Linked DNA regions of Neodiprion lecontei. The protein of the gene in region 1 interacts with the protein of each later gene in a pairwise test. Links are inferred from orthologs where the notes say so. Each region holds a gene or a part of one and is shown in the gene's direction. Other genes may lie near its edges.

What was found. The genes of interacting proteins can lie anywhere in the genome.
Region 2: the proteins of proteasome subunit alpha type-3 (region 1) and GATOR complex protein Iml1 interact in a two-hybrid assay, tested with the Caenorhabditis elegans proteins (2 studies listed by BioGRID). The link is inferred for Neodiprion lecontei from reciprocal best matches to the Caenorhabditis elegans genes pas-7 and depd-5.

What each region holds. Positions count from the first base shown.
Region 1 is NC_060265.1:20,676,987-20,680,876, reverse strand, and holds proteasome subunit alpha type-3, read left to right. Parts: upstream 1-1,604; 5' UTR 1,605-1,765; coding exon 1,766-1,786; intron 1,787-1,879; coding exon 1,880-1,962; intron 1,963-2,074; coding exon 2,075-2,466; intron 2,467-2,948; coding exon 2,949-3,217; 3' UTR 3,218-3,327; downstream 3,328-3,890. Other genes in the region: alpha-(1,6)-fucosyltransferase, read right to left, coding at 1-78.
Region 2 is NC_060263.1:5,519,291-5,524,128, reverse strand, and holds the start of GATOR complex protein Iml1, read left to right. Parts: upstream 1-1,793; 5' UTR 1,794-2,095; coding exon 2,096-2,446; intron 2,447-2,546; coding exon 2,547-2,672; intron 2,673-2,831; coding exon 2,832-3,115; intron 3,116-3,183; coding exon 3,184-3,371; intron 3,372-3,513; coding exon 3,514-3,710; intron 3,711-3,806; coding exon 3,807-4,090; intron 4,091-4,196; coding exon 4,197-4,426; intron 4,427-4,486; coding exon 4,487-4,702; intron 4,703-4,772; coding exon 4,773-4,838. Other genes in the region: rRNA methyltransferase 3, mitochondrial, read right to left, coding at 1-346, 442-597, 670-911, 1,009-1,370.

The sequences.
Region 1 (3,890 bases):
AACTAAAAGCCAAGAGATCAGCAGCAAGACGCCTAATTTTCCGAGCCAGCCTGGTCTCCCCGACCACAGAACCACCATTGTGGTCGATTCAAATTTCTATTCCAATTCTACAATACTACCCGACATCTGTAAAGTAAAAAAAGTTCTCAAGTCAGAGAGCTAAGGGTCAAAACCCTAAGACTTTTATCAGATCATGATGAAATAGACGTCTAATTGATTTCAATATTACCATATCCTCATTATAGCTTTATTATCAACGTGATTCTCTAATAAGGAGGTAAATACATCACTTTTCTATATGCACTTAAGCGCAGAGAATGTGCGTACAAAACATAAGGTAACAATTAAGAAGCAGAGCAAGTGTGGATGTAGGTGACAAAAAAAAAAAAAAAAGGAAGTCTCCAATATTATAATCGATAGCTTTGAACAGCAGTTGTGAGCATAAAAACAGCGAATTTAATGCTTGCTGAGTATGATGATAAGACAGATTTGTAGAGCCGAAGGAGTAGATTAATTATTAGTTATAACATTTGTGTGATTGTTAATATTGTTATGATTATTAATATTGTAGTCCAAAAAATGCCATGGTTGACTATTGCTTATAGGAATGCCGACATTATATCAAAAATTCTAAAGAACCTCATGAAATTAGTACATACCACCTGCATTGTAACTATCGACAATTCAAATCTTATCGGTGTCGTAACGAGTGATAAGTTTACACATAATAAACTGATAAGGTGATTTATGAAGAGGGATGGAAAAACGATAGAAATAACTACCATTCATACATAGGTATGAATAAATACTTCCGTTCAGGTAGCGAGATGCGATTACCTTGAATATATTATCTGTGAATTATCCTGCTGAAAGACGCAGGCTACGTTCCAACCGCAAAGCCGGAAAAGCAAAGAGAGAATTGTATACTTGAATGTGTGTAATAAAACGGACGTTTTTACTCACGTCACTCACAGCCGCATATTCATCCGATCGTCCAATTTAACGGACGACAGTACGAGAGTAATTTTCGCAGCACAGGAAGCACCGAGCGCAAACGAATATCGGACGAAGGTTGTTTAAGCACTCAATCAGTCTATGTGTCTCTTGTAAACTGTCATGGACTGTCATTAAAGAATTAAGGTTAACAATTCTTTACCACGAACTACAAACATTAACTCTCGGATGCGACAGCGTAGCGCAGAATTGATATACGGAATTGGAACAGTAACTCGACCTGCGCGTCTGGCGGCGAAGATCACAATCACAAAAGGCGACGACGTATCAAAAGAACACTAATGACTTACCAGTAACTGTTTTTACTCTGATATTAAGCGTTCACAAACACCTGTAACACAGCGTAATTTCAACTTTCATTCTCCCCTTAATCCGAATAATCTTATCAGTAATCAAATACCAACTGATTTAAATGCTTCTGTTGAATCTGGCTTACGGTTTACAAGAGTTGGATAACTGAGGCTCCCAATGACGTCATAGCTGTGCTGCGCAGATATTATCGAGTCCGTCTTTGTCGTTTTCAAGTGTTCACAGTGGTTCATAGCGTAGCGAATATATCGAAGCTGCTGCAGCGTCGTCCGCCTGTTTACTTGCAGCTTCTTACCAACTTTACATGTACCACGGATGAGTGGTCGTGGTTTTGCTTCTGACAATTGAATTCTGATTTCTGCCTATTCACGCCGCGTCGCGTGTAAATAAATAATACAATTAATTGTGCAGAAATAATAATTTTTAATATACTGTAACAAGGATGAGTTCTATAGGAACAGGGGTACGTAAAACTATTAAAAATCGATTAAAAATCTATGTTCTTTCCTGATATTTGACCAGCCAATTGTGACGATTCTAACCTTAAAATTCACAGTACGATCTCTCGGCATCGCAGTTTTCTCCCGATGGTCGAGTTTTTCAAGTGGAATACGCACAAAAAGCGGTAGAAAATAGTGGGTATGTTGAAATTTCATCATCATAAATATAATTGACCGTATCAAGCATGTTTGTTGAAAATAAGAAGTGAATGAATGAATTAAAATAAGCATTTTAATGAAATTTTTTTCAGCACCGTCATTGGCCTCCGTGGTAAAGATGGGGTCGTATTTGCTGTTGAAAAACTCGTCACCTCTAAGCTCTATGAACCTGGCGCTAACAAGCGCCTTTTCAATATAGATAATCATGTCGGAATGGCAGTTTCTGGCCTGTCTTCCGATGCACGACAAATCGCTGAAACTGCACGCACGGAAGCAGCCAGCTACCGTGCTCAGTACGGCATAGGAATACCTCTGAAATATTTGAATGACCGTGTGTCAATGTACATGCACGCTTATACCTTATACTCAGCTGTACGGCCCTACGGCTGTTCGGTTATAATCGGAGCATATGAAGCTGATGGCCCAGTAATGTACATGATCGATCCATCCGGCGTTTCTTATGGCTATTACGGATGTGCTATTGGTAAGAATTTATGTTAGCAACATTCGTGTCAGGAGACAGTACGTATTGCGCTTCTTTTACATCTTGCAAATGAGTTTGAAAGTGTAAATAAGTTGCCAGTTTGACTGTTACTGACTAAGCTGAAAGATTTTTTCTTTTATTCCTTGACTTAAATCAATACGTTTGTCACTAATACACTACATCACTTCTTTTTTCTGTGCGTGTAATATATATACATTTTTTTTATATAACTTTGGAGCAAATTTCAGCAAAAAATATTAGATTTTGTGAGACTACGTAGTATTAACTTATTAGAGTTGAAACAATACAGTACTATCAAATTTTTGCAAGTTCAAACTCAACTAATGTCACAATATTGTAGAATTTTCAGTTACTTATTAAAATTTGCTAGTTTTTTTGATAAAGGTGACTATCGACGATCACATGATGATGTGCAATGTTGAAATGGCAGTAATTTTTGTATACAATTTTTTTTTTCACAGGTAAAGCAAAACAGTCTGCCAAAACAGAAATAGAAAAATTGAAACTTGCCGATATGTCCTGTAAGGATTTGATCAGAGAAGCAGCAAGGATAATTTACTTGCTGCACGACGAATTGAAAGACAAACAATTTGAGTTGGAAATGAGTTGGGTTGGAAATCACACAAACGGTAGACACGAACGTGTGCCATTCGAGATAAAGGCAGAGGCTGAAACGAAAGCACGGCAAGCGATGGACGAAGATTCTGATAGCGATACCGAAGACATGTGAAACGTGTAATGAATATTATTAAATATAATTAAGAAATAATATGTAATTTTCAAGAAACTATCACGAAGTATGTATAAATTACTGCGAAAAATACATTCTTTGTTTATAGATTTGAATTTCTTGATATTGAATAAAGGCTGGTGTGTTGAAAGCTTTTACCCGGTAAAAAATGAATACTTTTATATAACGTGATAAATCGTCCACGATGTTCGTTATCGTTGCAGAGGGATAAACCTTTGGGACAGAAGTAAAACTCGTTTGTTTTACGTAACTGTGATATCCGATTTTGTATTCTTTTTTTCACGCCACATGTGTTTCGATTTATTCTTTTAATTGGATGACACAAGATGAAATTACCTAAAAACATTTCGTACAGTTATATAACACACGGTATGTATTCCATGGGCTAAATCAAGGAAATAATCAATCGGCCGTAGCAATGTTTGTAAAAATTTCATTCGTTCGAGTTACGAATCGAACTATCCAACTTCTTGGAGCTGATCAAGCGGGGCCAATAAATTTATGAGCGACAAAAGTTATACTTTCACCAGGGAACATCGATACCAGCTGTGATGCATATTTTTCTTCAAATGCCTTCTTTTCGGTGAATAAATTAAAATACGCATTTCTCATAGCGCTTACTGTAAATTCTGTCAATATATCAACAAATACA
Region 2 (4,838 bases), on another chromosome or scaffold:
TTTGAATCAGCATTTTCATCTGACTTTGAAAGCTTGGCATCGCGGGGTGACTTCTCGGTAGAATCTTTATTGGTATTCTTCAAACCTTCTTTGGATCCTGCGTCAGTCTCAGCCTCGGAGTCGCTACTGTCGGAGTCCGAACTTGAGCTAGAATCAGAGCTTGAAGTACCGAGATCCACATTGGACTCTACCGGTGATTCCGAATTGTTGTCAGCAACGAAAATATTCGCATTTTCGCTTATTAAATACTGCACTTCTGACCACGTTTGTGATTTGTATATCGGCACGCGAAAGTGCGCACCTGCAGCTGATCTCAGCACTTTCGGATTCCAAAGATCCACGCAGCCTAAAATTAACAGGTTTAAACATAAAGTGAATTTGAGCACAGCTTCGATTGTAGATTGGAACGAAACAATCAAGTTCATTTCTTCGGGTACGGACCTTTGGTTAAAATTACTCTCTCGCATCCGACTCCAGCCGCAACCCGAAGAATAGCTCCCAAGTTTCCGGGCTCTCTTACATTGTCGCATATCACAGTTATTGGTAACGCATCGGGAGAAGGTTCCTTGTTACTTACATCGGGAGCTACGAATATACCTAAACGAGAATCCCAGATTGTTAGTCGAGCGTTAGCCAGATGAAAACAAAATGGAAGTATTGGCAACTTACCCATAATGCCTGGGGAAACAGTCAAATCTGACCATAGCTGTATCGTTTGATATGGAAGTTTGTAAAGCTTGACACCATCTTTGGGTAGAGATATTTTGGCAATGTCAGATTTTCTGCTGAAGATAATTATCTCAGGCATACATCCGGCTTTTATGGCATCCTCGATCAATCTAAATCCCTCCAGCAGAATTCTGTTGTCATCCTTATCTTTTTTACGCGATCTTACGACTTGCATTAAAGAGCTGTAACGGCGAGTAAATTGTGAATCACAAACAAAGGCTAGAAGATAAAAAGTTATGTCTAAAACGAGATCAAGTCCAGTTGATCCGCAATGCGTACCTTATTATGGGATCGTCCCTGTCGAGTTTAGTGAAAATCGGAGTCCCGTCATTGTTCAACGTGGCACCTTCCCTCTGCTCTTCTTGAATCTTTGCGTTTTCTTTCTTGTCTTCGGCCAGCTTGAGCCGTTGTCGTCGGGCAAATGCAAACTGGGCGGTCTGCAGAATATTTTGAGGAACGGTGTGCTCCTGATCGTTGTACAGATCTTTCTCGTTAACAATTTTTGATGGCTTGCGATGAGTCCACCGACTGTAGCCTTTGACTCGTAAAAACACTTGAGCGCTAATCTGCCGCTGAGTTATTGTACTTTGAAGACACCTCATGGTGCTTTGCATTGTTGTAAACGTAAATGCCATTTTCATAACATGTGTGTGTGTCTTTCTTCTTTTCTACCGCTACACTTTCAGCGTTGATTCTAATAATTAGCTGACCGGTGTTACAATCAGCATTGAAATTATTTGAAAGAGCAACTTCAGTCCGTAATATATCCGGCACTTGTTTTTTGAATGACGCAATCGTAACTCAATTGTTTTTGCCCGTGATATGCAAAACGCCGGTTTTGAGGTTAAGCTGGAGCTCTTGTAGCAACATGCGTGCCGCCACACACCACACCATAAAAATTAAAGGAGCGTATGTGTTTTGCTTTGAAAACAGGTTAGTATCGTGGTTAATATGCAGATTGCGAATTGCGACACGTGACCGGATTCGTGAATCGTAGAGAGCAACAGAGATATTTACGCAAGCGTCGTCGTCAATCGTTCAGTCGGGAGCGTGTGTCGATTGTTTTGACACGTAAAGTGCGCTGTGTGTCGTCCAAGATGAACGTGGAGGTCGCGAAGTGAGCCGCGAGACAATGCTTAGTTAACAGTAGTTCGTTTAGTTTAATATTGTTTCTCAGTTCTGGACTCTGTGATTGCTAATCGCCGGTTTCGACACTCATCTTGGAAGACAATGGATCAATGGATAAATAATGCAGGCTGAAAATATATCCCCCTCGAACATAGCTGTCGATGAGCCTGCGGAGGTCAGGTGACCTCTTAACCCAGTGATAAATTAAACCATCGTTGTTGATGATCAGCAGCTTAAAATGAAGCTGTTCAAGTTGATCGTTCATCAGAAGAACTTTAGTGGGGAGGATTTGATTATAAATCCCAAAGATTATCCGGGAATAAAGAAAGGCGATATCGTTGAGATATTTCATCCGGAAGATGAATTCAGTCGTTTGCTTCTGCAGATCACCGCCTTCAAGGAGGATCTACAAGGCAGAGAAACCGTCAGTGTTGAAAATAACATTGCGACCACTTTTCAACTTAGAACATTCGCTGATGTTTACATGAATATTGTCAATCCCGACGATGTCGCCTTGGATTCTGTCGAGCTTACCTTCAAGGACCAATATATGGGGCGTAGTGAGATGTGGAGATTGAAAAATTGTCTGGTAATTAAAAGTCTGACTCTTTTATTGTGTATCGATAAAGTTTCCCACTAAACAAACTCCCATCTCATCGAACTTTGATTTAAAATCTTAATTTCTCTAGGTCAACACGTGCGTGTATTTAAATAAGAAGATCGAATTCTGCGGAGGAAGCATTAGGTGCCAAGTACACGAAATGTGGTCCCAGGGGGATCGAGTTGCCTGTGGCGTGATAACTGACGATACAAAGGTGAAATATCTGTAACAATTTGCTAAATCTGGCCAAGGATACAATCAAAAAGCTCTTAATTTTATAGCAATAATCGAGCTATTAAACTTGAATTCGACGAATCAATCGACATAGCTTTAACATTGATAACAATGTTCTAAATCATTGTCTTCACAATAGGTGGTCTTCCGTTCGTCGACAAGCATGGTATACCTGTTTATCCAAATGAGTTCCGAAATGTGGGACTTTGATATTCATGGAGACTTGTATTTTGAGAAAGCAGTAAATGGGTTTTTAGCTGATCTTTTTCAAAAGTGGAAGAAAAACGGTAGCAACCATGAAGTGACGATAGTTTTATTCTCACGAACATTTTATAACGCGACAAGCCTTGAAGAATTTCCCAATCACATGAGAGAGTGCTTGCAGCACGATTATCGGGGTAGATTCTACGAAGATTTTTATAGGTAATGCAAATATCAATGGCATCCACCACAAAATGCTCAATCTTAAACATCTCCAACGTGTGTTATAGAGTTGCTGTACAAAATGAGAGATACGAAGACTGGAGCAATATATTAGTTCAATTGCGAAAACTGTTTACCGATTATCAAAAAATTGTCCTCGAATATCACCAACGGCCTGGAATTGTTATGCCAAAAGCCATAAACTCAACAGCTGCTCAAGGGAATTTCTTAGAAGTTCTGAATATGTCCTTGAACGGTGAGCGATAGTTGATACTATTGACTAATAACCTGTAGATGTGTGGAAATTGAATAGCAATTTATTTCTTTCGCAAGAAGTTTATATTACGAAATTATTATGCAATGTGATGTACGATATTGTGATATGCTTTCTTTTTTAGTTTTCGAAAAACACTACCTGGATCGCAGTTTTGATCGAACCGGGCAGCTTTCTGTGGTTATCACTCCGGGGGTTGGAGTATTCGAAGTTGATAGAGAATTGACCAACGTTACTAAACAAAGAATCATTGATAATGGTGTGGGTAGTGACTTGGTTTGCGTGGGAGAACAGCCGCTGCACGCAGTTCCTTTGTTAAAGGTACTGTTCCATTATGTTGAAATCTTGAAACCAGAGTTCTTGTGTTAATTCTATTATCACATAAGAATATTTTATTATAAGACAAAATTCTTGTAGTTCCATAACAAAGATACGTCGATAAATGCTGCAGACGACTACAGCATGCCGCATTGGATAAATCTCAGTTTCTATTCGACAAACAAAAAAATACCTTACTCAACCTTCATACCTCGCATCAAGTTACCACCTAAAATATCAAAACCACCGTCAGAGTGTGGAAAATTGCCAAACAAGACAAAGCTTCTGCAGGAAGATGGCAGCGAATGTCTGCGTAATACACTGTTCGACTATGATGCCTACGATGCTCAGGTTTTCCAGTTACCACCTGTTCATACTGCTAGGTGAAACTATTTTTTTAACAATTAGTTTATAATAATTTAAATTAATTTGAAGACTTGTATTTTGTATTAAACTCGATTTGTTATTTTTTATAAATTTGTAATCTAGCTTGCAGAGAGTATCGACTAGAACAAAGAAAACTAGTGTAGCCTGCATGGAAACGCACAGCAATTCCCAGGCTCTTAAATTGTTGAAAAGAAAGATGTCGGATCCTGATATACATCATCCACCTCCCGATACTCATTCTTCCCCAACGGTTGCCTCCCGCAGTGCAGCAATTTCGATTCCTCATCGAGCGGACGATTTGATAAGTGTCAACTCTAACGGAGAAGTTAATTGTAAGATGGTATAGTTGTTACATGTCAAGTACAGAGCTAAATCGATACAATTTTCCATAGCAAAACCAAGAATATCTTTAATTGATGACCATGGAGATGTGGAGATATCACCTCCGTTCAGACCAGTCGTCGGTAGTGCTGGAAGTCCTACCAATTCCGTTACTCAACCCAACAACATTAGGCCAGGAAGAGCTCTGATCAATCCATTTGACCCGTCTCACGTAACGATAAAGTTGACAAGTAACAGGCGAAGATGGACTCACATTTTTCCGAAAGGTGGAGTATCGCGACTGCATTTACTCCGTAAGTATTTTCTTGCAATAATTTCGCGTGTCATATTTCTCAGGACCTACGGGTGTGCTTATACAACAACACCACTACCAAGCTGTGCCTACGCAGTCTAGTCCCGAAC